Nothobranchius furzeri: one gene and its partners. The protein of the gene in region 5 purifies or fractionates together with the protein of the main gene of each other region. This does not show direct contact. Links are inferred from orthologs where the notes say so. Each region holds a gene or a part of one and is shown on either strand. Other genes may lie near its edges. The genes, in order: nup107, nup43, nup160, nup85, spast and nup133.

Region 1 (4,525 bases), on a different chromosome or scaffold from region 5:
TTTATGTGTTATATCTCCCACTATTATTAAAATTTAGTATATAAACCGTTTCATGCTATACCCGTGACTCCAGTCATTCTTAAACAACCTCCAATTCTCCCCGAACCTAATTATTGGCCCATTTGTTTATTTTTTCTTTTAATTATCTTATTGTATCCTGTAATCCGGTTACAGAGCCACTGGATGAAAACTTAGCCCGTAATCGTAAGCGGAGAGAGGATTAATCACTTTGGTCTGAGTCAAGATTTTTGCTCTTTTTATTTCGGTTTCCTTAACTCGTTCAGTGCTATTGACGACCAAAATCGTCATTTGCATGTTTTTACTGTGTGGGCGTCGGACGAGCCCCCGCACTGTGAGAACAAACATCTCAGCTCTAAAGCCGATCTTCATCCGCGTACGTCACACTTCACGTGATCAGGAAGCAGAACATCCATGTGTTAGGAGATCGTTTTGGGCCGCTGCTGTAAAAAAAGTGAGGCGCGAACCAGAAAAGCTTCTGCCGATCACAATTCAACAACGGATTATGAAAGAACGGATAACGCTCGAAACACGCGGATTCTTCCTGATGTAAGAGGTGAGTCTCCGCTTTGTTTTGGTTGTTTTGGCGTCGACATCATGCTAGCGCTCAACCTTCTGTGGCTCTTAACAAAATGCTAAAAAGGCTGAAAAACACTGGCAGTGAATGAGTTAAGTTGTGATTTTTAGAAAAAGTTCACCCACCTAAACACAATAATTTAGGCCTGATTCTACTGTTGTCCTCCACTTGTTTGATTTCTTCAGATTATTTATTAGATTAGCAGAAATAAGCCAATATTTTCCTCAGTGAAATCAAAATATGAAGAAATTAAAGTCGTTACTGGGATGCACGCCGCCTGCTTCCTTTAGAGCAGGGGTGTCAAATATGCGGCCTATGCGGCCCGTGGGTCGGATCCGGCCCGCGAGATGGTTGTGTAAACTTTATTTTCATACTTTACAATGTAGAGTGAAAATAAACTTATCTTTGTGAGCAAGTTTTCTCTGTAATGAGTATAAATAAAACAAAGCTGCGCTCAAGGCTCACACAAGAACTTGAATCACATCCTGAAGATGGCCGCCACTCAGGCTGTGACTTCTGATGTTGATGTGCTGGTGAAAGCTAAAAGATGTAAAGTAAAATGAGTCAAATATACTTTAAGTGCTGCATTAAACTGATCTAGCCATGTGATCTGTAAGCTCTTTGAATCACTAAGGAATTTTTTTTTATTTATTGATTTTATTTTTTATTTATTTTTCAAATTTTCAAGTACACTTCAGGTGTTGTACTTGTACTATTTTGGATACACTGTCCTCGGGCTCCAGCCTTGTTTTATAATGATTGTATTAAAACAAAGAAAACAATCTGAAGTTGTTTTTAATTTACCGGTCCGGCCCACTTGGGACTAGATTTCCCTCAATGTGGCCCCTGAGCTAAAATGAGTTGGACACCCCTGATTTAGAGTTTTATAGTAAGATGTTGAGAAATGGATTTCTAGTTAAACATTGGAAGTGATGCTGGACAGTGATGAGTACGACTCTCAGCTACACACAAGAAACTTCAGCTCAGCTGAAATGATATTCTGCTGACAGACAGAAGCAGAAAGACTACAGCAGAACCTGAAGTCACTTACAACCACGTCAGTCATCATGTCGTCCTCCAGCGCCAGTTGGACCCGATCTCTGCAGAGACAAGCAGGTGAATTAGACACAGAGGGGTGGACGTTTGCACCACCAGACAGACAGACGGGTGGATTTCGCTCGACCAGTGAGACGTGATACCTGTAGAGTGAAGCAACGAGTCTCCAGGTGCAGCTCTCCTGCTGCAGCAGCCAGCAGACTCCTGCCGTTTTACTGTTCTGACCCGCTCTCAGCACCACCGACTGAAGCACATCCACCTTAAAGGAAACCAATCCTGTTAGCTCTGGGCTCCCGGTGCTCAGGGGCCTCATCAGAAAGCTCACCTACGCACAGAACAGGGTCTGAAAACTGCGCAATTACTTTCCTCACAAACTTTGCGAATTATACAGGAAAACTTCACGTAAAACTTTGGACCTGGCGGAAGCACATTTTGGAGGAGGTGAGATGGTAGCAGGTTTATTTAGGACACATTTTGAAACTTCTAGAACCTCGCACGAGATTTTAAGATCCTCCTTTTCACATCGAAAGCTCTTAATAGTCAGGCTCCTTCATACATCAGTGACCTGATTATTCCCCATGTTCCTGACAGAGTACTTCACTTTTGTGGTGCTTGTTCTTTAAAATCCCTTTAAACAGGTACATTTACTCTGACGGTGATCCGAAACATTAAACAGATTTATCAGACATGAAAATGGGTCAAGGGTGAAAAACCCCAAGGCGTTCCCTGGCCAGGTGAGAGACATAGTCCCCTCACCGTGTCCTGGGTCTACCTTTAGGTCTCCTCCCGGTTGGACGAGCCCAGAAAACCTCACCAGGGAGACGTCCCGGAGGCATCCTGACCAGATGCCCGAGCCGCCTCAACTGGCTCCTCTCGATGTGGAGGAGCAGCGGGTCTACTCCGAGCCCCTCCCGGATGACCAAGCTTCTCACTAGAGCCCTGCACGGGCCTAAAATCTGAGCCCGTGTCCGGCCCGGCCCGAGCAGGTGGAGCCCCAGCCCGACCCGGTCCGAAAAGGTTTTCAGGATTCTCTGGCCCGACCCGAGCCAGACTTTTTTTTTTTTTTTTTTACCTTTCATAATGTTTTAGCGTGAAAGAATGCTCAGCATTCTAATTATCTGTGAGAAGCGTTCTGCAGTAAAATAAAAAAAAAAACGCATCAATGCAGCTTTTTTTCTAACAGAGCGTATTTTTGGAGCGGCAGATGAAATTTACGAACGCTATATTAATCGGATGCGTTTGTAAATCTAATCTGCTCTGAAAACACGCTCTTGTGCAATTAGAAAAAAAGCAGCATTCTAACTTTCTAACTGCAGAGCGCATTTCAGAGCGGCAGATTAGATAAACGCCCCCAATAAGCGTTTGTAAATTGAATCTGCCGCTCTGAAAATGCGCTCTCCAGTTAGAAAAAAATACAGCAGTGAATGCTGTATTTTTTTAACTGCGGAGCGAATTTATTCACAGAAAAATAGAACGCTGCCGTTTTCATGAGAATTAACGAATGGTTTCTGACATCAAAGTGGACATAAAATGGCATATTAGAACAGGGGCACATGTTTCAATCAGCTGTTTGAGAATAGGCGCATTTATAAACCACACAGACCTTAACTGAGCTAACGGGTGCCGGTGCGTGAGACGCAGGCAGGTGCTGCTGCGTTCAAGTGATTCCGGTTTTTTTATGAATTTGATTAAAAATAAAGGCGCCCGGCCCGTGTCCGAGGTAATTACACAGTCGTCGGCCCGAAGCCCAGCCCTCGGGCCGGGCCGACCCCCGGGCCTAGGGCTTCAGTGCAGGGCTCTACTTCTCACCCTATCTCTAAGGGAGAGCCCAGCCACCCTGCAGAGAAAACTCATTTCTGCCGCTTGTGTCAACGATCTTGTTCTTTCGGTCACTACCCAAAGCTCGTGACCATAGGTGAGGTTAGGATCGTAGATCAAAAAATAAATCAAGAGCTTCGCCTTCTGACTCAGCTCTCTCTTCACCACGACAGACCGGTACAACGCCCGCATCACTGCAGACGCAGCACCAATCCGCCTATCGATCTCACGCTCCATCTTTCCCTCACTGTGATACTTAAACTCCTCCACTTGAAGCAGGACCTCATTCCTTGTCCTGTCATGTTTTTAACACTTTGTGAAATGTGGAAAACATATGACGAATAATTGCTATTCATGGCAGCAGAAATCTAAATAATTTACAGAAAATTAAGTTTTCTCACTGTGAGGGTCATCTTTTAAGCAGTGGGGCATATATTTCAAAATATACCCCACTGCTTAAAAGATGACCCTCACAGTGAGTGGACGCAGGTATAAACAGAAGTTTTAATGCCTAAATGCACCACTAATGGAACTAATAAATCCTGATAAAGGCCCTCAGAGGGTGTGTTTAAGCTCCTCCTGACTTACCTTGTCCTTGCAGATGTTCTGATAATCCTCCACAAGCTCAAACACAGCAGAGGAAGAATGTTTCAGAAAGGAAGTAAGGAACTCCGGAAACAGACTGGCGGCCGCTGAAGAGATGAGAGTCCAGCATCAGGAGCAGCAGAGTAACAAGACGAAGCCTTGGGGGTGTTTGTTTTACTCACCTGCGTCTCCTGGGTCATCCTCCTTCAGCAGCGCTGAGCTGAGGTTGGCACCGTCATCACTGAAGCAGCTGGTGTTCCCTAACCCAGAAGCCGGGGAGGTGTAAAAGCTGGTGGTCCAGTCGCTGTCGTCCAAGTTCTACACACACACACACACACACACACACACACACACACACACACACACACACACACAAATTCACTATAATGAGAACAGAGTATGCTCTAAATGTAAGCTCAAGTTTCTCACCAGATTGCCCAAAGTGCTTCTGGGAGTGTACTGATATCGAGG
Region 2 (5,074 bases), on a different chromosome or scaffold from region 5:
AGGAATCCATTTGATGCTATTCAACAACAGGTTGCGCATTAGCCTGCTAGCTCCGATAACAACAACTCACCAAAGTCCGCCGCTGTCGCTTTTCCTATTATTAACGGACAGTAGTGGTTTGCTGACCCTCCTCGGCGTCGAGGACGCGATTTGAAGTTAAAATGCCCTTGTTGTTCCGCGCCGACTGGTTCCTAGTCTTGTTGAATTCCTGGGATATCTGAATGACAAGTACAACAGCTAAGCTAACGACGCACCATCAGACGCTGGACTTTCACAATAAAAGTCAGTGGAGAAATTACTTTTTTGCTAAGTTTAGAACAAAATAACACTAATAAAACTAATGAAGAAAATTTTAATGCTTTTTTTTATAAGTTTTTTTTTGCTAACCTGTTAATGAAGTCCAAACACATTTCACAGCACAAATCTTAGAAATAAAAAAATAAGAGCATTAATATGTATAAAAATAAATCAATTTCCCTTTGGGTGAGCACATAACATCTATTTGTAAATTTACAGAGCAACATAAGAGCTCACAAGGCTGACTTTGACATTTTTATGTTGGTAGGTTTGATTTACAATTTTACTTGATTTGTCAGTATAAAAAAACGTAACATCCTGAGACAATTTGAGAAAGTTACATTTTATTTCTTTATTGTTTTTTAAGTAATCTGTACAAAACATTATTAATCTGAACAATTGTGTACAGAATGACATACAAAAACACTAATCCATATTCTGTCACTGCAAAGAATGAAGCATTGCATCAGACACAGAGGTCTTTCATTGCGTAGGTATATTGGCTTTTTGTGTAACAAAAAAAAAGTCTTCCAATGTGTCACAAAACATCAAATTAAAATTTGCATTCATGTATTTATTAGTCACCTCCAGATCTTTTAAACTGGGACCTGTTTGTTGATAAAAATAGCCTCTCCATCAGTTCCACAAACTAAGCACTGTCCAAGCACATCCAAGCTGTTGACAGACAGCGTCTGGCTGGGCAGCATGTGGGTCGTCTCCAGGCGGCTTTTACTGGAGTCTCCGTTGAGCCAGGCACTGATGAGGGACTGGTTTCCTCCAGCAAGGGCCATCGCACTGCGAGAGGTCACGCTGCTGTTTCTGCTACCTGGAAACACAACAATAACACTTTTTACAGTGAAATTACGACAAATAGTACAACATGACAATGTTTAATAGACTGACCTGGTGTTGGACATTATCAGGAAATTCTTTGTTTATTTAACCCTAAATAATGTAAACTTTCAGTAAAACATTCAACTGGATATTTTCTTGATTATGGCTTTTGTGTTTCCATAGAATCTTTATAATTAAGAAAATAGAAGAAGTACATAGGCAGCCTTTTAAACTGAATACCAATAATAATAATAATAATGATTATTATGATGAATAGGACTTGCCTTGTAGAAAGGAGGGCATGTCTGAGTGGGAGGACGTCTCCCAGTGCAGCAGCGATCCATCCTCTGAACACGTGAACAGGTGATCTGGGTTGGTAGGGTGGAAGTGGACCTCCCACACTGCCAGGAAAGTTAGACAAAAAGCATTAAAAAAGTGAAAAATATTTAAATATGTGTGTAAATTATATGTCCATTAAATAATTAAAAATGTACATCTTACTTTCAGCTGAGTGGGCCTCCATGAGGGATGAGGGCATGCTGCCTTGCCTCACATCCCACATACAGAGCATTCCATCCTGGCCTCCTGTGGCTACAATGTGCTGCTGGTTTGGATGTCTGTCAATGCAGTACAAAGGAACTCTGTCTCCTGACCTGATTGGAGGAAAATTAAAATCCACATACATCAGCAAAATAGTAGAATTAAAAATGGGGAAAACGTGCTAAAGCGGATCTTACAAGGACAGAATCTGTGATGCCGAGTTGCTCTGTTGTCTTAGATCCCATAGCTTTATTTGTCCGATGGAGTTCACAGTCAAAATCTCCGTCGTCCTCAGGTAAGTCACAGCATGAATCGTGCTGCTGTCAGCATTCTCTACCAAATGTACCCGCAAAAGCATGTTGACTTGACACCGAGTTAAAGTGTACAGAGTTCTGAATGGGGTGGTTTAATCTCACCTATGACTTGAGCCATACAATCCTGGTCGGCTCTGAGGACAATAATCCTGCCGTCCTCCCCAACTGTGATGATCTCAGGGCTGCTGCACACAACTGCAGTGCAGGGAGCATTGTCACAGGGGTAATGGTGCGCTTTCACCCACTGCTGGGAAACTGAGATTGTCTGATGTAAGAAGAAAAAATGATTTTATAAATAAACAGCAAAGGCAGCAACACAACCTTCATACAGGAGTTGACATCTTTTATGAAAGCTCTACTGCACCTGACTGTTGTGATGGTGGCGGAAGATGGTGACTGCTCCCGTTGATGAGGCCGTGACGATTCTCTCTTGATCCAGGAACTATAATCAAGTAGTATAATCAAGTCTAATTTGGAGGAATTGGACAGCTGAAGCTCGACTAAAACTGAGTCATGCAAAACAATGTCCCACGCACGTGTCAAAATTTCAACAGAATGGCTGCAAAACAAATGAGTCTGTGTTGCAAATCCTCCTGCTGACTATAACAAGGCTGTGCACTGAGAAATCCTGCAGACCTACAAAGAAACAAAACTATTGATGCATAGAACAACAGATTTGCCTTCTGTATTAGCAAAATTCTGAAATGCGCAGAAAATGTACTTTATTTGTTTTTATGTGCATCTCTGCAGGGTTCATTGTTGTTTTAATTTCTTTAAAGTGCGTACAGCACTTTGGTCTGTCTTCTGGTCGATGTAAAGTGCTTTATAAATAAAGTTGATGGTGATGAATAATTGCATTATTAGTATGTTATGACATTATTGTTACAGCGTCTTACCTGGAGGCCAAGAACATCTCCATCGTGCTTGTTTTCACAAATAAGCTGCGGATCTCCTTCAAATCCATCTTCCAGGCCCGAATTTTCGTAATTACCCACGGACCAAATAGATATCTTGTTTTCCTACAGAAATAATTTTTTTTTTAAATAAAGGCCACATCCTTGCAAAAAAAATGACCAAAACGAACCTGACAGACACACAAAAAAGCAAACTATGTGTAACAAGTGTTAAATCCTTTTTGACAGTTACAACGTGTAAGTGTGCATAATCAGGAGAAACACAGAACATTTGAAAAACTGGGTAAATTTGGTTCACCAAAAATATTCAACTAGCCAACCTCGTTGTCCCACGATCCCGTCGCAAAGATTTCTGGTTGTTGTAAAAACGAAGACGACACAGGACGCCATCTGGCCTTGCTGACTTTTTGGGACACGTACTTAGCACTCTCCATGAGAACAACCAACGTTTCTGCTGCCTAAATACGAAAAATATTCTTATTGATGTTAGCTTAGCTCTATGTACGCACCCACTAGCTTTAAACGTAAGTACGGTGGCTCAACAGGATCAAACAATCTGATCTGCGTTTCTCGCAAGAAATGTGAATTTGTACATTCCGCCACCTAGCGGTCGTCTCCGTTGTTACTGCGGCAAAAACCTGATAAAGCACTGCATGGCTGAGGAACGTGGCTTTTATTCCCTTTCGTCTGACGCTGACTTTGATGCATCATGAACAGATTAATTATATTCTAAAATGACATATTTTTCTGCTTGGTCGTGCATCTGAGAGGCGGCTCTGCTCTGTAAAATCATTTGGATGTCTAGTGACGTATCCGCCGCTACGCCGTCTGCTCTGGAGGTTGTCAGCTTCTTTGGTAAAACTATTGGCGCAGGCGCGGCACTTACAGCTGCTGTCTACTTACTCCGTAAAGTCTGCTTAATAATGGCCTGGAAATCTGGAGGAGCCAGCCACGCAGAGCTTGTCAACAACCTTCGCAGTGAGTCCGGTTGCAGGTTTAAAGCGGCAGCAGCGATGAACTTCACCGCCGCGTCGCCAGAAAACGTTGTAGTTTGGAGGCTGGGGTTAGCTTAGGAGCGGTAGCTACTAGCAAGCTATGTTTATGGTGACCCAGCGTCTCCTCCCGCCTCTCCACCCCTTTTCCTAAACCACGTTTTTCGCTGTGGGACCATGTGTGGGACAAGGCAACGCTTTTGTCACAGCAGGGGGGAAAAACCCAGCAGAAATGACATTTCCGTTTTGTTGTAAATCGCAGAAAAGTGGTGTCCTGTGGGAAGTTAGCTTAGCATGTTAGCAGTATGTGCGTCATTTGAGATTTTATGCTACTGCCCACTGTCATTGATGTCTGTGTCTTCTACTGGACTTCAATGTGAATGACAGTAACAGCTGTACATGTCCGGATAGTTTCTGCTGAGCTTTAATACTCGGATACATTTAAATAATGACAAGTTGCTGTATCACTGCAGCTGTTAGCTACATAGCTCTGTGCCAAAGCCCACGACTCATTTCCATTTAAGAAGCCTGATTGTTGAACATTTTCAAATTTCTGTGCATATATTTTAGCTGATGTCTTTCCATGGACATTTAATATCCTTTCACAATATTTTAATAAGAAATCGATCAACCTTAGTCGATCTGCAGAAATCAAAACAGTTTCTTTATTGTTTGCACACATTACAACCTGCAAAATGTGTTTTAAATTATCAAACAAAAAAGTCAGAGTAATTTTGAGAATTTTGTAGGAGGGTGTGCCTAGCGTCAGCTTGGCTTTCTGGGCTTATAGACACGACCTATTTTTCCAGTTTATATCTAGTTACCAGTTCAGATCTTGTTTTTTTATATTCTAAATTAATAAAAGTTTATTCATGTAACCAGCCTGTCAAAAAGACAAACTATGAAGTAAAGAAAACTGTAATGCTGGCATAGAAGTAGGGATGTAAAAGTCAACCGAAACCAGGAACCGATACCAATGCAGTTGCCTGAAAGTGGCTTCACCATAACTTGTCATTTCTGTTCACCTAATATTTCAGTTTTGTGATCATTTCTATGAATATATTTTATTTTTTATCTACCTCACAATCTTTTCCTGTTGAAAGCAGAGAAGAAAATAAAACCTGTATTCCAATTCATTGCATTATTTGTGTGGTAGAAGTATCGGCGAGTACTCAGATCCAAG
Region 3 (3,366 bases), on a different chromosome or scaffold from region 5:
GTGTGTCTGAAAACACAGTTCCGGTTAAAAACCGGATTGAATTGTCTGCCAATTTTCCAGAATGTCTATCTGAAAAGGGCTCAACAGAAGTCCACATCTGGGTTTTAAGGATGAATTAATGATGACTGATTCACCATGACATCAAACTTTCCTCTTAGTGATGATGATGAAATGTATTTAATGTAAAAATGATAAAAATGGTCTGGTGTTTGATATGATTTATATATATTATCACCACTTTGTACGGCCCTGCCTCCTCTCACCTTGTATGACTGCAGCAGCCAATCAGGCAAGGGGACACCATGCTGCAGCAGCTTGTGAATGACATGGCGATGATACTGTCCATTGGTAGATGGATACCTGTCCAGGTAAGAGGCTAGCAGTCGCCATGCCTCATCAGTGGCACTGAGCACAGAAAGTCAGGGAAGGTTAACACAAATGGGCTCTGACTAATTAATGAATATGATCAATAACATGACTACTGGCTAAGCAACACACCTGGACTCTTTGGTGGTAACAACTGACAGCTGATTAGCAGCCAACCAGCTCCAAGCTTCATTCTGAGACTCCTCCCCCCCAGACTGCAGCTGGATACACCTGAGATAAAGAGTAGGGTTAAGCAAACAGGAAGTGAAACAAAATGGAAGGGGAAGAGTAAGTGAGGAACCTCCTGGGCTCACTTGAAGGTTAAAGCATCGAAGATTGGACTCAGATCCAGTTTGAAGATTTGGCTGAGAGAAAGGGCTGAGTCGAAGAGTCCGGTCTGGGCCAGGAGGAGGACCAGTTCTGGTGCAGACACACTGCCTGCAAACAGAAGCACACGGTAAATATTGTTTTTGAATGTTGTATTTATTATTGATGATTAAGAGGTATAATTATGATATTTGTCTTCTTTTAGTTTTCACGATGTACCACAATGTTCTGATTTGTGTGAAGAAAATAAATGTCTGTGGACATCAGTACGGATCGTGAAGTCCTTTCTGAGCAGAAATGTGAAATCCATAGTAAGGCAAGGCTGCTTTATTTATATAGCACATTTCATCCACAGAGGCAATTCAATGTGCTGTAACGTGATGAAGGAGCTATTCCACCGAAGGTTATTTACCCTCTCTCCTCAGATGCCTCTGACCAAGCCCCCACAATGCGGCTCTAAAATTGATGCAAACCCGGAAGTGAAATAAATTGCAGTTCCACCCTCATCCACTGGGGGCTGGTGTCAGAAGCGAGCAAATCCTCATAGACTCCCATGTTAAAAATACCAATTTCACAGCAGAAATAAACATGTTTACAGCCTGGTACCAGAACATGTTTTTTGTTTAAATGATCTAGTTTACACTCATGACAACTCTGAGGGGGGTGAATTTTTTTCTCACTCTTCTGTTTAAGTGTATTAAAAGCCTAAAATTCTGTATAATTAATGAACATCAGACCCACGTGACCACAGAGGTAGCTCCGTGGAAAGGCCTCAGTAGAGTAGGGGCGACGGTGGCACAGGAGTTAAGTGCTCGCCTCGCAATCGGAAGGTTGCAGGTTCGAGCCCCGCTCAGTCTGTCGCTGTCGTTGTGTCCTTGGGCAAGACACTTAACCCATGTTGCCTGCTGGTGGTGGTCGGAGGGACTGGTGGCGCCAGTGCTCGGCAGCCTCGCCTCTGTCAGTGCGCCCCAGGGCAGCTGTGGCTACATTGTAGCTCATCCCCACCAGGGTGTGAATGTGTGTGTGAATGGGTGAATGACTGATTGTGTTGTAAAGCACCTTGGGGGGTTTCAAGAACTCTAGAAGGCGCTATATCAAATACAGGCCATTTACCATTTACCATAGAGCCTCGGTCTGGCTTGGAAACTGTTCCGGGATTTTGAGTCTCTGTGTTTGTGTATTCTTCTTTGGATATTTTTTGTGCAATTGTTGGACAAAACGACTTGCTGTGGCATTAATTGCACTAATAGAGCGTCCAAGGAGTCTCCACTTCCTTTTTTTCGGTTAGTAAAATTATATTTATGTATTTTAGGTCACTGCTGAGCTGAGCTTAGATTTAACATGTACTATTTAACCATGAAACTTAAATGTAATAGGGTAAAACCCAGTGCATTTAACATAATGCTGCACTTTAGAAAATGGGTTGAAATATAACATGTTGGTGGAGCTGGGTTCCGACTATCGGCTTGTGGAGCTCTCGGGAGACCGATGTTTTCCACCCTTATCCCCTCCCCGCAGCTCGGCGCATCTCTGATCGCGGCTTCTGTTTGATGCGCGGGCTGTCGGCTTGTGGAGCTCTGGGATGGAAACCTTTCCATTCGGTTCTCCCCAGCGGCAGCTCTGCGCATCTCAGATCGCAGCGGCGCTTGTCTGCTGTGCGGCTGCCGGCTTGTGGAGCTCTCGGAGACCTCTGTGTTCCACCCGGTTTTACCCAGCGGTCAGCCCGGCGTATCTCTGACTCAGAAGCTCTGGTGTTGTGCACAGTTAACTCCGGTTGTAGCTAGGTTGCTACCTCCGTTAGCTTAGCTCCCACCTCTGTGTTAGCTTTGGGTTAGCTTGTAGCTAGTTCGACCGGGTGTCATCAGTTGATCCCAGCCTTACAGCCCCACCCTCAGCTCCACCTCTCTTCCCTTTTTTTGGAATTGTCTGGGCTTGACGGAACCTGTGACACGGTCAAAATGGCGGCGGTGGCCACCTCCCATTTGGCCTCAAAAACGTGATATTGGAGCCTATGGAAAGGAGATGTCCAGTATATTTATGATGATGCCTCCACAAATGAATTTTGCATGATATTAGACCTTTAAGCTTGTTTCACACCGAATGCTGAGTGATGCTGTAGTTTTTGTAAGCTGTAGTCAAAAATGGCATCTGGCGATGGCATTAACATCTTTCTTTAGAAGAAAAGCTTTTAGCGCTTCTAATTGTTTTGGTTTTAAAGACGCGTTCAAGTCATTTAGAACAGAGGGAAGACCTGCACCTAACTCTGCTTCAGACGCCATGTTTGAGAAAATGAGCAACATGGTGTGTGACGTACGCTGCTCAGCGCTGATTGGCTCAGTTAGAATTCTCAGGGGGCGGGGTTATTTGAATACAAGAGTTCCCAGCTGGTCAGGCTAAAACTCTGTGTGAACAAGGTTTCAGTGATGTGTGCAAATACACACGACCTACACAAGGTGCACAACTACCTGCAATAGCTGCAGATGGTGGGTGGTGCTGTGCAAGAGAGAGGCGGGCCCGAGACAGAAAGTACTCCCTCTCCAGATCATTCAGCTCCAGAATGTCCACCCGATGTCTACCTGCAGCTGGAGACACACAGTAGCGAAAAAAAGAAAACAATCGTTTTTGTAGCGCCTCTCAAGATAAAAATCGCACGGTGCATCATGAGAACAAAAT
Region 4 (5,116 bases), about 53 Mb from region 5:
AATAACCAGTTAACAAAAAGTGCAATACCTTGCATACCTTGTAAGACTATTTAAAATGCTGGATAATTTTCTAGTATAAAGCAGTTTAAACAGAGGCAAAACCTGTTAGCAGCCTTTTGTACAGTTAAAATGAGAAAGATTTAGCAATATTAAGATGGAATTGTGAATTTCATTTAAAAATAAACTACTGCTAAGTTAGATTTTGGGACATATCAAATAAATTCAGCTGGTGGTGTGAAATGAATAGGGCGATTTTCAGCATGATTTGTAATTCTGATGCTCAAAATTCTTCCCACCTGCCCATAAACCAATAATCACTAATTCAAAGAATCAATAACAAATTGATAATTTAGGAATTTTTATCTACAAAATTACGAATTTCAAGTAAACAACAATAAAACGACGATCATAGTTAACTGAAATAAATCAGACAAAATTGGCATTGGTCCTCAAAATCACAATCTGTGCGTCTCCACTTCTACAGATTTGTTATCAATAAAAATAACTATTATTACTATTAACAATAACATTATTATATTAATCAAAATCATTTGTCACAACTTAATGCAACCCAAAGTTGGATCTTTTACTTTAATATTAATGTAACAGAAGTTTTAAATATTAGTAAATCATGGCACAGAGTGAATGAAGATTCTGTAGTTGTAAAAATGTGACCTTTTTATTTTTAAGAAATATGAAACTGTTGAGTGCAGACAAAAATGTTGCACTAATTTACACAAGCTAGTTGAAATCTTTTTCCCAGATCAACACAAACTCACATGACTTTTGGACTGAGGACGACACCAGCTGGTCGTCTGTATGTTATCAAGAGGAAGGAAGGAGAATGCGCGCCTGCGGATGCGCGCTCACAAACCTTCCGGTCTATCAAAGTAGCAGCTAGGTGAATTGTATCAAGCAACTTTAAAATGGTCTGTAACGCAACATGCGGAGTTGTGCTTCTTCCTTTTAAGTTCCTACATTCCAAAGCGGGTAAAAAAAACTCAGTCGACATAATGGAGACACTAACCTTTGGTTTTTCATCAGCCATGGTCACTCTTTTGGCGCTTCTCTACGCTGCCACACAAAGAATACGAGCACGCGCACGTACTCGTGCCCGTTTAAAATAATCTTGCAAACGTGCGCGACCCTGTATCCGTGCGCGTCCACCTTGGCCGACACTCATTTGCTTAAATTGGTCACGAGGTGAAAGCGCGGTCTGGTGATGGGCGGGAGAGTCCCGCGAGCGCGTCACAGAGGCGCTATAATCCACATGCACGCGCACAGCGATGTTTTCCCTTTTGCTTTAAGCTTTATGAACGTAGACATTATCAAATGAGACAGTTATTGCGTGAATTACTTCACGTCTGCGTCGGGAAGTTTAGTCAACATCCCTCTACTGCGTGGTATCCAAACTTGGAAGACATGATACCCATGTTACTGGTCTTATCCCTGTTTACCAGCGGCCATCTTGTTTCACTAAATATGCCTAAAAGCAACTTCAGTTCAGTTATAGGTTATAGGATATTTCACAGAAGTGCTCTTTATAAACATTTTCCAGTGGGAATGTTTGTGTTTTTGAGTGAATTAATATTAAAGGTAAATCTGACTCCACATAACCACATTTTATTGCGTAATCATGCGTTACGAATTATCTAATTCCAATGTATATGAGAGGGACAATTTTATTTGCTTTATTAACAGCAGTCGATTAAAAAACAGGCATTAGAAAGGGCAGCCCTTCGTGACGCATGCGCAATAGTGGATTTCAAGCACCCATGAACCACGGCGCGTAATAGCAGATGAGAGCATCACATGTATTTAATGTATATTTTGTAGCTGAATAGTTTGTATTTTATATTTTCTTTGCATCAGAAACATTATTACCAGATGGAGGAAGTAGACGTTGAGCCGGTAGTTACTGTAAGTTGTCTCTTGTGTGTTTTTACCATGGTTTTTACTGCTAATAGCCACTCTACTGCTAACAAGCTAGCGGAACCGCAACAACCTTCTGAAATCACGAAACCAACAATTTATTTTGGGTTTAGTAAAACGCGCAATAAAGGATAATCACTGTGCGAGTGACTTCAAACGTAGGTGAGGGAAGTGTTATTATTAGCTTGTAAACGCCTGTACGAGTTGGTTGATGTGTTTGTTATATGGTATTCATTAGTTAAAAATGGGGCAACATTGACATTCTTTATAGTTTGAAGTGGGTCAACTATTTAATAATACTAATTTTTTAGAAATGCAAGGTTTTGCTTGATTAAAGTGTTTAATAAAATATCTCTTTGTACTTCATAAAATGTTGTGTTTTTTTAAATGCAGAATATTTCTGGAATCAGACCTGGGAAGCGTATGGGATTTGCATGGGGTCCTGGTGATATACTTGTGTATGAGACACAAAACAAAGCATCAGGTAGAAGGAGTTTTTAAATCAAAGTCCTGCCTCAAGTGCTTTTTTTTTAACTGTATTTTTGATGCATTTTGTGTAATGTGTTTTCTTTGTTTCAGGACCTACAGGGTCAGGTTGTGCCTTCATCCACGTGGTGCGGAAAGACGAGGACATCTATTCCCCCATCTTAAGAAAACTTTTTAACGAGTCGCATCACATCTTTGTTGGACTGCAGACAATCAAAGATGATCTCCCAAGCAAGAGCAAAAAACCACAGTAAGAAGGCTCCACGGGGTCCTCCACCACTGTACACCCTGCTTTTAAGTTAAAATGAGCAGATAAATGTTACTTATGATAACTGAGATTTTCTTTACAGGTTTGTAAGCATCAGCAGAAACTACAGGTCTGTGATTCGAGCCTGTATGGAAGAGCTTCAGCAAGCTGCAGGTGAGCTGTCTTGAATTTTACTAAAAACATGTTCTGAGCAATCTTATGCAAGAATAATAAACTCCATTATTATGCATTTTGTACAGTTTCTGCAAATGACACAGATATGGCCACACAGTACGGAAATCAGGCATGTACTTAAAATGTTTTGTCTTGGAGTTTAACTAAATATATTCACCATGCAGTTAGTTCATGACGTAAGGTCCTAAGTACACATGACATAACATTTTTATTCTCTGGTCCATTTTTCTGATGTCCATCTGATTTTTCCTGTCACAGGTGTCCATCCTGTTGGCCATAGAACTGATCTGGAATCTGTGTGAAGTGCTTTTCATTGATGCTGCTCCAGGTCAGAGGCTGATTAGTCTTAATTCTTCTTTTTCTTTTCGGAAAACATTTTTTCTTAGAGTATTTGACTTTGAGATTATGAACACACGCTCAAAAAACAATGCAGTGATGTGTGTGTGTCTTCTCAGCTGGTTCCCTCCTACTACACCTTCTGGACTGGGTGAGGTTACATAAATCCGATGTGGATGAGAAGGCGAAGGGGGTGCTGCAGAGTGACAGCCCTGCTGAGCATCGTGACTACTGGGATGTGGTATGTGCTGTAAAAACCCTCTTAGATCATTTATTTAATCCCTGTTCTTTAAATAATATGTTCTTTCCTGACAGACTACAGTGGGAGATCTCATTTTTTGCGTTTTGTGTGTTTCAGGTTTTAAGTTATGTGCTACAGGGAAGGTTGGAAGACACTAGGAAGATGCTGATGAAACAGGCGATGCTGCAACCTGCTGCCAAGAGCATGTACAAGCTGATGGATAGCCTGCTAAGCAAGATGCCCTTCTATAATGTGAGCACCATGTATTTTACCACATTTTCTGTTGTCTCAACAAAAAGCCTAAAATGCTAAAGTTGACCTGACATTTAAAAGACCCTAGTCTTTCACCTTGGCCTTTTGGCTTAGTTTTTCTTAATAGCTTTTGACATTTTCTGAAATAGATCAAATGTTTTTTGTATTTAAAGTTTGTAGCGACTTCACACACCTAAACACGATGCACCCAACACAAGAAAATCAACCCTTCCCCTAAAGTGTCATATTTCAGGAGTCTTGTATCTAAAATTTTCAGCAGTTTACCATTTTATTTAAAGACTAAACCAGTTTTGTTATTGTTGAAATACAGTTGGTCACTCGGGTGAGTTTAACATGCAGATCTTCTACCCCTTCTTCCTGCATTAGCCGTCAAATCAAACTTTATTTATATAGCACTTAATCATACAATGCATGTAACTCCCAAGTGCTTAACAAATTAAAAAGGCCCCGCATACCCACATTCCCTCCCATCCCCAGAATTTTAAAAAGAGTCTGAGAATAAAAACCCCTTCACAACACTCATTGTCCGGCACACATACACACATGAAACATACGGGGAGCCAATGCAGTGATTCTAAAACTGGAGTGATGTGCTCCCGCTTCCTGGTCTTCGTCAGGACACGTGCTGCTGAGTTTTGTAATAGTTGTAGACCTGAAGTCCTCTTTTTAGGAAGACCAGAAAGCAGGGCATTGCAGTAGTCTATCCTACTGGTGATAAAAGCATGCATTACTAGCGTCTCCGTATTGGCCCGAGAGAGAATGGGGCGGACTCTGGTGATGTTCTTTAGATGGTGAAAACCTATTTTTGTGATATTTTTAATATGATGGCGCCGTCTGTTGTGGCTTGCCGTCTGGTTTGCCGTTTGTGCTTTTTGTACTTTTGTCACTGTTTTTGAGTCTCCCAGTGGCTGATTCCTGTCCCACCCTCACCTATGACCGAGCTACTCTTCTGGATCTCCGGCAGACTTCACTATGCCTCATTCAAGCAATCGTTTGGGAACCTGTTTGATGGAGTTCCGCCCTTCCTCCTGTCCTCCGCCTGCGACCTGGTGGGGCCGCGGTGGAAGCGGCGCGGCAGGCGTAGTGGCGCTCATGTCCAGCTCTGAGCTTCCCGGGTGTGCCAGTCCAGTGGCAACGTTTCTTCCCGGGTTTGGGTCTGGTTCCCTGATGATTTCTCGGAACACAACATCCAGATTCTCCACAGGCATGACAGCGATCCAGGGGTGGACCTTTAAAGCGCCCGAGCGCCAATGGCGCTAAATTTTCTCGTCGGGCGGTAAATACTTGACGACTTACCGCCCGGGTGGCGCCCAAGCTTTATTTATCATTTACACACCGGCTTTCACCTACATCATGGGCCCGCCCTGTAGGAAGCTGCCGTTTTCGTTTCGCGCGCGTGAACCTGC
Region 5 (5,078 bases):
GGCTTCCTGTTTATGAACTGGGGGAAGGGGTACAACATGAAACTCCAGTTTTCTGCCCAGCCCAACCCAGTCCTTTGTTTCATGGCTGAGAACATTTCACAGTTAAGGAAGTCGCAGTGAGAAACCAAAACGATCACAACAATTAAAACAGCTTAAGCTGGTTTAGCTTTGGTTGTTTTCTGGAGTTGTCGAGTTAGCGTGTAGGCCAGGGAGGTCTAATATTAGCCAAGTTAGCTCTGAATAGCTATAGCCTGTAACAAATTTGTCCAACAAAATCCCGCTTTATTTTATTCTTTTGCGGCATGATCAACAATAAATGACCACAAAACACACATGTTCCTCGTGGGATGACACAGAACAGGCTGTCAGAAGCTGGTAAATGTTAGCTAACCGGCTTTTATTTGAATCATCTAGATTAGCATGACATCGTCGGCTTTAACAGCCTCCTCGGGCAATATACGAAGAGAAACGTTATAAACCCAACGATGTTTAAAGTTTTACTAAATAAAGCGACAGACAAAACCAACGAGGCATGCTGACATACAAAGGAAAATAAAAAACAACAACAGCTAGCGCTCGGTGTGCTAACGCAAAGTGCCGACAGTTACCCGAAGCGGAGTACCAGCTCCCGGCGTGACTTGCTTCTCTGCACACCACTCGATTTGACATCTTGGTTCCCAAGCCGCCTATCTTGATTTCCTTAACTTCTTTATAGCAAAATAAAAATAAAACAGAACTGCAAAAACCCTGCGTTAGCTAGCTGACAGATGAAATAACGCCTGCTAGCTACCTTGCTCGAATAGACAAAGGGCAGTCCGGCTGTCGAGACAGCTGGGATAGCAAGCTCACTGTACTGGCCCCTGTGTTGTTATATTAATGTCGATGGTTGTTACCGGTTAATAAGTGAAGTTAGTTTGTTCGGCAATCTGGCGATATAACTCCTTATAGGCACAAATAAAACAGTATTGCGCCGACAACAAACACTAGCTAGCCCAATATAAAACCTTTAAACTGTCACAGTAGGTATTTGAGGATTACTGAGACTTCTTTTGCTAGCCAGGTAGAAGGGGCGCGGCTAAAACTGTTGTCGAAGTGATGTCACGTCTTATGATTGGTGAATTGATTTTGTAGGGAAACATCATTGGTGGGAATTGGAAAGGGGCGGAAACAAGTCCAGAATGGTTGTTTGGTTACAAAACGTTGGGCCGTCAAGTGAGCTGTGGTGAGCACACATGGCAGAAAATGAATCATACAAGCTTAACGTTATGGTTGAAACCAAAACAATTAAGAATCTAGATGCTATCAATAACAGCTGTCGACACGTTTGTAATGCATCATTATAATGTCTAAAGGTTTTTCTCAAATTTCTTTCATGAATTGTCATTTGAGTTCAAAATCTTTTCTGATTTCTTCTGAGTTGAAAATAGCAGTCATTGTTTTGAATGACATGTGAATTCGTGAAAATTAAAAAGAACATTATGTACAAGTCAAGGAAAAATAACGATATATAACGATATATATAGTGAATATATATAGTGAAACTATTATTATTATTATAAATATGGTTAAATGTTTCTAGTAATTACTTTACAAATTGGTGTTCTATAATCACACAAAAATGGGTAAAATGGTAACGAAATCGGTGGAAAAGCAGGCGGAAACCTGTTTTTTGCAACAAATATTATTTATTATATTTTTATTTTAAAATTTGGTTAGAAATTTTGACTGTAAAAATGGAAAACGACACAAGACAATGTTTCTCCACTACGGCAGGGGGCGCTAGGAGTTTACACCAAAGAGAAGATGCGGAAGCGGGCGGAGTCTGTTGTTTGTGTACAAGGGAAAGCGGAAGTTAGCGGTAGCTGCTTGCATGGACTCTAAAAACAAAAGAATATCACAGTGAAGGGTTAGTTTACTAAACATATACCGATGTTTCGCCACCTTCGCATGTTTTTTAAATGCTAAATGTATATTTCCCTTCTTAGAGAATTTGTAACAACCGCGATTAGGGAGGAAGTAACGCATCAGTAATGTCGGCTAAAATAAACGCAACTAATAGCAGCGGAGAACTTATTAAAAACTATCATAAACAGGCGTTTGAGTATATTTCGAAGGCACTGAGGATCGACGAGGATGATTCAGGTTGGTTTATTTGTTTGAGTATCGATCAGCGGATGTTTTGTGTGACAGTTTGTTATAAACGCCATCATGTGATAATAGTGGCTAAGGGAGAAGCTGTGCAGTGGTACAAGAAAGGAATCGCTGAGCTTGAAAAGGGTATCGCCATAGAGATTACTGGAACAGGTAGAAACGTTAACACTCCTCTGTTCCGTGATGTTTTGTGTTAGGAACATTTAGCCATGAATTCTGTGTTGTTTTGTCAGATGATCGATCAAAGAGGCTGCAAGATAAAATGGTTACCAATCTCACCATGGCGAAAGACAGGCTTGCTTTGTTAGGTAGGTGTCATTTGAGCTGACTAACACCCTGCTGGCATCAAAGCTAAATAACCTATTTTCCTGTTCTTTCCTCACAGAGGCCACATTGGCATCTAAAAGCAAAAACAATCCTCTGTCTGGCTCAAGCCTCCCTAAGCCTAAAAGCCAGCCTTCAGCTTCAGGGTTGTCCACTAACTTTAGGCCCTCCACTGCTGCCAGACCATCACCAAGACCTGCTGATGCAAAGGTGTTTTGATTCTTCACCATGTAAAGTGTAATCACGTGATACTGAAGGGTTCACGTTGTGTAATGATTTCTGCTTAAATCAATTCAGGTGAACCCCAGGATGGGAAAAGTCCCAAATGGAAGACCTGTGAAGCAACCCCCAAAGAGGGACATGAAACACTTCAAAAATGTGGACAGCAAGCTGGCCAGCTTGATTCTTAATGAAATAGTTGACAGGTATTCATAACAAGATAATAATGCTTTTGCAATCTGCAAAATACAGAATTAAATAAAGATGCTACATTTAAAATGTGCTCGGCAGGGGAGCGTCTGTATCTTTTGAAGACATTGCTGGACAAGATCTAGCTAAACAAGCACTCCAAGAAATTGTGATCCTTCCTTCCTTAAGACCGGAGGTTACGAGCTTTACTATATTTCTGTCTTCATAAAGCATCTGTGCTTTAAGTGTTTAACCTGACACCATCTCCTATGGTCTGTTTAGCTGTTTACAGGTCTGAGAGCACCTGCACGTGGTTTGCTTTTATTTGGCCCACCTGGAAATGGAAAAACCATGCTGGTATGTAGCGCATCCATTTTAACACAACAACCTTGATTGCTTGTATGCATGTATCACCATCCTGCTGTTATTAGCTGAATTACAGATGCTATTCCTCCTTTCCAGGCCAAAGCAGTCGCTGCAGAGTCTAATGCTACTTTTTTCAACATTAGTGCAGCTAGTTTGACATCTAAATATGTGAGTAGATTTATAAATTGCTTACTTTTCTGCAGCCACACTGTAATCTGTGGTGTTTTCAAATGTTTCTTATCACTGTCACAGGTAGGAGAGGGCGAGAAGCTTGTACGAGCTCTCTTTGCAGTTGCAAGAGAACTGCAGCCTTCAGTCATCTTTATTGGTCCGTAGTACTGTCTTCCACAGTTTAACTTTGACATCTTGGTTCATAAATTAACCTTTTAATATCACTTTTAATTCTTAGACGAAGTGGACAGCTTACTCTGTGAGAGGAGGGAGGGGGAACACGATGCCTCTCGTCGCTTAAAGACAGAGTTCCTCATCGAATTTGATGGGGTAAGAGTGTCAGGAATTTATTCTTGAACACCTGAGAACACACCGGTGTCATTTTCACATCTGCCTTTCTGGATTTCAGGTGCAGTCAGGAGGGGATGACAGGGTTCTGGTCATGGGAGCAACTAACAGGCCTCAGGAGCTTGATGAAGCAGTCCTAAGGTAAGCAGTGCAGCCATACGTGATTGTTTTATGTTTGATTTAAAAATATGTCACTGCTACTGATAAATGTTTATCTGACAGGCGCTTTGCAAAAAGGGTGTATGTCGCTCTGCCAGATGAGAAGGTAATTATCACCCATGCATGTTTTTTTTTTTTTTGTTTTGTTGCAAGATGCTTTTTGTTTCCTTTTTAAAAGAAGTTTTCTAACTCTTTAGACGAGACTCACTCTGATGACAAACCTTTTGGGCAAACACGGGAATCCACTGAGCTCGAGCGAGCTGTCTTGCCTCGCAAAGTGAGTGTCCTGCTGCTGTTACAATGCTTCATGTGTTCGTAGAGGCAGTAGAAACCCACATGACAGCATAAAAATATGCTAAAAGTTAGATTTGTATGTATGTCCCCTTTAAGCTGATATAAATAAAATGTTGTTAACTGACAGAGCGACTGCAGGATATTCAGGAAGCGACCTGACGTCATTGGCCAAAGATGCAGCTCTTGGTCCTATTAGAGGTAGGACTGATTAATCAATTAATTTCTGGCAACATTTTTACATTTTTAATGGGAAAACCAATGAATTTTATGTGAACTTGATCTCTTTCAGAGCTGGGACCAAACCAAGTCCGCAACATGTCAGCCAGTGAGGTGAGAAGAAGGAAAACCATCAGATTGGCTTTTGTAATTACACAGTATTAAATATGTGTAATTACACAGTATTAAATATGTGTAATTACACAGTATTAAATATGTGTAATTACACAGTATTAAATATGTATTCATTCACTTTTGTTTTCTATGTTCTCAGATGCGTAACATCAAGATGAAAGACTTTGAGGATTCCCTGAAGCGCATTAAGCCCACCGTTAGTCCCTCTACTCTAAATATGTATAGCAAATGGAACAAAGATTTCGGCGATACGACAGCTTTTTGAACTTTGCTTTTTACTTGAAAAATAAAATAAAATAAACGTTTCTTTAGTTAAACTGAGTGAAACTATCAAAGCACTTCTCTTTTTGTTGGGTGTGGCTATATTATATGAAAAAAATGTGACATTTGGGATTATTATAGGAAAATTTCCTGTTTTATGGAAAGGTTTTCCTTTGTCAGTTCTTACAAACAAATGTAATCGCACTCCTTATTCGTCTTCTTGCTCTGTAAAAATCTGTTATTTA
Region 6 (4,525 bases), on a different chromosome or scaffold from region 5:
AGAGTTGGTCTCTCTCCGAGAATAATTATGAATTTAACAATGATTACTGCCTGATGACATTTTCCCACATCTGCAAAGCTCACTGGAAGGACACAAACCGAGGACAATATTCTCCTGATATAGGGTTTATTACTCAAGTAAGGGTAAAAAAGTATCTGATTACAAGGCTACTTGAGTACTGAGTATCATCTGATCTAATATTTTTAAATTATGACATCAAACAGACATAAAATAAGAAGTTATGGGCAAATATTGGTATTTTAAAGACTAAAGGGGAAAAATGTAAACAAATAAACAACATCATTACAAAATAACACATTTTAGGCAAAATTTAGACACAAACTGAGGACAATATTTCCTGACATACAGGGTTTATTTAATTGTGTGAAAATGTAGCACGTTTAAAAAAAATACCGCGATAAAACCGAAAACCGTGGTAATTTTGGTCACAATAACCGTGGGTGGGGTTACATTTTCACACTGTGACAACCCTAGGGTTGAGTATGGAGCATCGATTGGAACCAGGACTACGTGCAACTTTTCCCCAGAATTGTTTAATGTTTTCAAATTTCAACTGCTAGCGTTGATCATCGGTCCACCGACCGGTGGAAGGTGTAGCCGAATACCTACAAAGAAGCATCCGCTGGAAGTGTGTGTGCAGGTGCGCTAAAGTGTGGCTTCAGCCGCCGATCTCCGTGGAAAAAACCGTGAAATTACAGTCAACGCCTTGGGGAGCCCGTTGCTCTTACTCTGCAGCCTGCGGAGGTGTGAGGCGTCACATCTCCCTCCTCCATCCCTTCCCAGCAGCGAAAATGCAAACAAACACCTTATTTCTGCTCCATGTAGCCTGTTGATAGCTACGTTTAAGTGTTCCACTCTACCCGAGTCGTTGCTGTCGATTCTCACTCATCCTGAGTTTTAACTCAAACAGCCGGACGTTTATGGTCACCTCTCATCAGAGACGCTCCTTCAAATTCCTGCAGAAGTTCAGACTTTCATCAAGTAAGACCTGTGGTCAGCAGGCTCAGTTAAACATGTAAAGGTTTTGGACAACGACTCTTGAAAGAATTGGAATCAAGAATCAATAAGAACCGGAATCGTTCAAATGGAAACGGTGCCCAGCCCCCGGTGCTCCACCAGAGCTGGTAACAGAAGACTTTTGAGTCGTATCTGATTTCATTCAGGGGTTGAAATGACTTGCAAAGCAAAGAGAGCCCACCTTCTGGGACAGACTCAGCCCAGCGAGGGTCTGAGGCTGGGTAATCATCTATCAGGTCCAGGTTGATCCGAGTCACGACGCTGTCCAGCTCAGCTCCAGCCTCCCCGTCAGCAGGGAACAGCTCATCAGTGACCGTCTGCGCTCCCACCAGGTCGTTACTGACGAGGAGAACAAAAGGTTATCATCTAATAGAATGACCAGAGCCAGTCCAGTAGTTGTCGCTCCACTCAAAGGTACGTCTTACACACCGGCAGAACTGCAGGAAGGCAGCCTTCAGCAGCTTGGTCCTGTCCTCCTGGCCCACAGGCGCTTTCCTGGTTGGAGTCTCCACGGCAGAAACCTTTAACAGCAAAAATGGAATTACTGCACAAGAAGGTGGACAATCACACGTTTCAGTCACATCTGCTACTTTTAGGATGTATTTCATTCGTCTTGTTACAGAATCGCATCGACGTTCCCAGATTTGAACCGTCTAAACATTAAAAAGATGTTTAACTTTAGAATTACCAGACACCGTCTAAGGTCAGGCTGGTCTAACAGACTGTTAGGCTACAGCATGGACGTAATTTTCACTTTAGAAGTGGGGGGGCATGGGGGTATCTTTACAGTATGCTCTAATAGGAAACAGGCTTCAACACAAACGGTTGTTTTCTGCTTGGTCCTAGAGCTCAACCAGTGTCAATTTAATATAACGTAATATTGTTTTTGGATGGTAAAAAGTGCAGGGGTCAAAACTTGACTTTGGAAAAAGTGGGGGGACATGTCCCCCCTGTCCCCCCCCCAAAATTACATCCATGGGCTAGATTAGATTGTGTATTTTAATTTCTTAGCGCAAAGCTGGAGTCACCTCAGGGGCTGCAGCCAGGGAGGAGCACAGCGAGTCCTCCATGGTCTCCGGCAGGATGGAAGCACTCTCTCTGGCCACGACCACTACCAGGCCACTGTTCAGAGAGAAAAACACCGGCAGGTTGGCGCAGTGGCCTCCTCCACGTATGCCATCACCTGAACACAGACGTCAACACACAGTTCAGTCATGTTTTCCTACACTGCTCCTGTCAGTGTGCCCTAGGCATGTGGGGAAAAACTCATTTCGGCCGCTTGTATCCGTGATCTCGTTCTTTCGGTCACTACCCAAAGCTCGTGACCATAGGTGAGGGTAGGAACGTAGATCGACCGGTAAATCGAGAGCTTCGCCTTCTGACTCAGCTCTCTCTTCACCACGACAGACCGGTACAACGCCCGCATCACTGCAGATGCAGCACCAATCCACCTATCGATCTCACGCTCCAGTTTTCCCTCACTCGTGAACAAGACCCCGAGATACTTGAACTCCTCCACTTGGGGCAGGACCTCATCCCTGACCCGGAGAAGGCGTTCTACCCTTTTCCGACTCAGGACCATGGTCTCAGATTTAGAGGAGCTGATTCTCATCCCAGCTGCTTCACACTCGGCTGCGAACCGCTCCAGCAAAAGCTGAAGATCATGTTCTGATGAAGCCAACAGGACCACATCATCCGCAAAAAGCAGAGACCTGATCCTCAGGCCACCAAAACAGATCCCTTCAACACCTTGGATGTGCCTAGAAATGCCTGCAGGTAAAATGACGCTCTGCTGCGTTTTATGTCAATAACATTACAATAAGGTGGGAGGTTCATCTAGTTTCTTTACTTTTGTTTAGCTGCACTGAGATCAGTTGATCGGTGGCGGTCTGACCACCGCGGTGCACACCAACAGCACGAAGCCAGAGAAACCTTCTCTAGCTCCTCCCATAAAGGTCTCTTTGTTTAACTCCAGTGATTTTAGAGCAGATTTTGATGTTTGCAGTTTGTTCTTGTTTTTCACCGACAGATCAATCAAGTTAATCAGTTTCCCTCTGGGATTAATAAAGTATTTTTGAGTACCGGCAAATGAATCAAACGTTAAACGGCTCTCTATGAAGCAGCAATAAAAGTTGTATAGAAACCTTTTATTTACTTAAAATTAATTGAATTTCTTTAAAAGATAAATTCTCTGCTGGCCACGTTTAAAAATGGAGTCTGTATTCGTGTCAATCCAAGAACCGTATTTGTCTTTATTCACCACCTCAAGCACACTGCCATGCATGACGCTACTGCCGGGGAGAGACGGTGTGGAACGTCTAAAATCTGTTTCTGTGACATTTAAATCCAGACAGTTGCTATCGCACCATTCCACAAACTCACAATCAGCAAGTGCATCCAGTTAGCCGGTATTAAAGAGCAAGTCACCCCCCCAAATCAACTTTTTTTTGCTGATAAACTACATAAACGCGTGTCTAATCGTGCTGCAGACACGTGTGGTCAATAATTTGGTACTTCAGTGCATCTTAGTTAAAATTTAAATATTCTGCCTAAAACTGTCAGTGTTGTGCCGTCGTCAGGTAAAAACTCTGCACTGCATTTGAATTTAAGGCCTAGTCCACACGTAGCCGGGTTTTTTTTAAACGAATATCCGCCCCTCCAAAAAACCTGTCCACACGTACCAGGATAAATACGTTGTTAAGGACATGCCAGACCTGTAGGCGGCAGTACTTCCCCCGTTCTTAACCTCGTCCTTCGTCTGTGGTCTTCCGCAAGGAGCAGTAATTCCGCTTGCAAAAACAAACAAGCAGAAAGCGCTTGGACAATTGATAAAGCGAGCGCAGCTCTGAGGGCATCCATGATGTCGGCTAGTGTAAACACAGGTCGCACACGTGATGTCAGCATGTTTTTGTCGCGGAAAGTGACGTTGCGGACCTTAAAACTCCGGTTTTGTCCGTCCACACGCAGACACCCAAAACGGAGAAAACGCAGATCTTCACTTTGGCCGGAGTTTTTAAAAAGATCCGTTTTCGTGTGAAAAAACTCCGTTTTCGTGTGGATGACAGGCCAAAACGTAGAAAAATATCTATGTTTTGGCAGATCCCCGGCTACGTGTGGACAGGGCCTAAATCTGCCACTGCTATTGGCTAAGAGGTATACTATGATGTAAACTGGTCCTTATGATGTCACAATGTGGTTGTGAGCCTGTGTGTGTATTGGTTTGCGGCTCCGCCCTCTCGGTCTGCAAGGCAACAGCATTTGTTGCATTTTTCAAACATGAAGAGGGAGTTGAGTAAGAATCTGGCAGGGGGTGACTTGCTCTTTAAGTAATTCTATATCACAGGCCAAAATCCTACCGTTCATTATTAATATTTACTGATAATGAGACAGGCGTGCGTTTTCCTAACAGCGTGCGGCCTCATGTAACAATCGCTGTCTGAGATGAAATGGCAGGTAAAAATCATGGCTGCTGCCCTCTCTCACCTGG

Evidence for each region.
Region 1: the proteins of spast (region 5) and nup107 purify together in Homo sapiens (affinity purification with mass spectrometry; 3 studies listed by BioGRID and IntAct, counting the BioPlex papers as one, with this or other methods). This does not show direct contact. The link is inferred for Nothobranchius furzeri from reciprocal best matches to the Homo sapiens genes SPAST and NUP107.
Region 2: the proteins of spast (region 5) and nup43 purify together in Homo sapiens (affinity purification with mass spectrometry; 3 studies listed by BioGRID and IntAct, counting the BioPlex papers as one, with this or other methods). This does not show direct contact. The link is inferred for Nothobranchius furzeri from reciprocal best matches to the Homo sapiens genes SPAST and NUP43.
Region 3: the proteins of spast (region 5) and nup160 purify together in Homo sapiens (affinity purification with mass spectrometry; 3 studies listed by BioGRID and IntAct, with this or other methods). This does not show direct contact. The link is inferred for Nothobranchius furzeri from reciprocal best matches to the Homo sapiens genes SPAST and NUP160.
Region 4: the proteins of spast (region 5) and nup85 purify together in Homo sapiens (affinity purification with mass spectrometry; 3 studies listed by BioGRID and IntAct, counting the BioPlex papers as one, with this or other methods). This does not show direct contact. The link is inferred for Nothobranchius furzeri from reciprocal best matches to the Homo sapiens genes SPAST and NUP85.
Region 6: the proteins of spast (region 5) and nup133 purify together in Homo sapiens (affinity purification with mass spectrometry; 3 studies listed by BioGRID and IntAct, counting the BioPlex papers as one, with this or other methods). This does not show direct contact. The link is inferred for Nothobranchius furzeri from reciprocal best matches to the Homo sapiens genes SPAST and NUP133.

Annotation. Positions count from the first base shown.
Region 1 is NC_091741.1:38,092,673-38,097,197, forward strand, and holds part of nup107 (nuclear pore complex protein Nup107), read right to left. Parts: coding exon 4,484-4,525; intron 4,373-4,483; coding exon 4,237-4,372; intron 4,162-4,236; coding exon 4,058-4,161; intron 1,911-4,057; coding exon 1,795-1,910; intron 1,696-1,794; coding exon 1,647-1,695; intron 1-1,646. UniProt on the Homo sapiens protein: Plays a role in the nuclear pore complex (NPC) assembly and/or maintenance. Required for the assembly of peripheral proteins into the NPC. May anchor NUP62 to the NPC. Involved in nephrogenesis.
Region 2 is NC_091742.1:11,413,723-11,418,796, forward strand, and holds nup43 (nucleoporin Nup43), read right to left. Parts: upstream 3,554-5,074; 5' UTR 3,334-3,553; coding exon 3,220-3,333; intron 3,005-3,219; coding exon 2,882-3,004; intron 2,428-2,881; coding exon 2,350-2,427; intron 2,251-2,349; coding exon 2,088-2,250; intron 2,005-2,087; coding exon 1,869-2,004; intron 1,785-1,868; coding exon 1,633-1,784; intron 1,533-1,632; coding exon 1,412-1,532; intron 1,124-1,411; coding exon of another isoform or gene 1,120-1,123; coding exon 894-1,119; 3' UTR 625-893; downstream 1-624. Other genes in the region: pcmt (protein-L-isoaspartate(D-aspartate) O-methyltransferase), read left to right, coding at 3,697-3,877. UniProt on the Homo sapiens protein: Component of the Nup107-160 subcomplex of the nuclear pore complex (NPC). The Nup107-160 subcomplex is required for the assembly of a functional NPC.
Region 3 is NC_091744.1:79,810,699-79,814,064, forward strand, and holds part of nup160 (nuclear pore complex protein Nup160), read right to left. Parts: intron 3,276-3,366; coding exon 3,159-3,275; intron 805-3,158; coding exon 681-804; intron 598-680; coding exon 499-597; intron 406-498; coding exon 264-405; intron 1-263. UniProt on the Homo sapiens protein: Functions as a component of the nuclear pore complex (NPC). Involved in poly(A)+ RNA transport.
Region 4 is NC_091752.1:54,262,846-54,267,961, forward strand, and holds the start of nup85 (nuclear pore complex protein Nup85), read left to right. Parts: upstream 1-1,753; 5' UTR 1,754-1,887; coding exon 1,888-1,920; intron 1,921-2,325; coding exon 2,326-2,416; intron 2,417-2,511; coding exon 2,512-2,668; intron 2,669-2,768; coding exon 2,769-2,839; intron 2,840-2,925; coding exon 2,926-2,969; intron 2,970-3,118; coding exon 3,119-3,188; intron 3,189-3,315; coding exon 3,316-3,437; intron 3,438-3,554; coding exon 3,555-3,689; intron 3,690-5,116. Other genes in the region: small ubiquitin-related modifier 2, read right to left, coding at 1,028-1,048. UniProt on the Homo sapiens protein: Essential component of the nuclear pore complex (NPC) that seems to be required for NPC assembly and maintenance. As part of the NPC Nup107-160 subcomplex plays a role in RNA export and in tethering NUP96/Nup98 and NUP153 to the nucleus.
Region 5 is NC_091752.1:1,588,068-1,593,145, forward strand, and holds the start of spast (spastin), read left to right. Parts: upstream 1-1,813; 5' UTR 1,814-2,030; coding exon 2,031-2,142; intron 2,143-2,220; coding exon 2,221-2,304; intron 2,305-2,384; coding exon 2,385-2,459; intron 2,460-2,536; coding exon 2,537-2,685; intron 2,686-2,772; coding exon 2,773-2,900; intron 2,901-2,985; coding exon 2,986-3,079; intron 3,080-3,165; coding exon 3,166-3,240; intron 3,241-3,345; coding exon 3,346-3,417; intron 3,418-3,501; coding exon 3,502-3,577; intron 3,578-3,658; coding exon 3,659-3,750; intron 3,751-3,829; coding exon 3,830-3,909; intron 3,910-3,990; coding exon 3,991-4,033; intron 4,034-4,124; coding exon 4,125-4,204; intron 4,205-4,348; coding exon 4,349-4,419; intron 4,420-4,510; coding exon 4,511-4,551; intron 4,552-4,711; coding exon 4,712-4,837; 3' UTR 4,838-5,078. Other genes in the region: protein MEMO1, read right to left, coding at 609-669. UniProt on the Homo sapiens protein: ATP-dependent microtubule severing protein that specifically recognizes and cuts microtubules that are polyglutamylated.
Region 6 is NC_091747.1:67,783,727-67,788,251, forward strand, and holds part of nup133 (nuclear pore complex protein Nup133), read right to left. Parts: coding exon 4,522-4,525; intron 2,222-4,521; coding exon 2,067-2,221; intron 1,560-2,066; coding exon 1,468-1,559; intron 1,378-1,467; coding exon 1,220-1,377; intron 1-1,219. UniProt on the Homo sapiens protein: Involved in poly(A)+ RNA transport. Involved in nephrogenesis.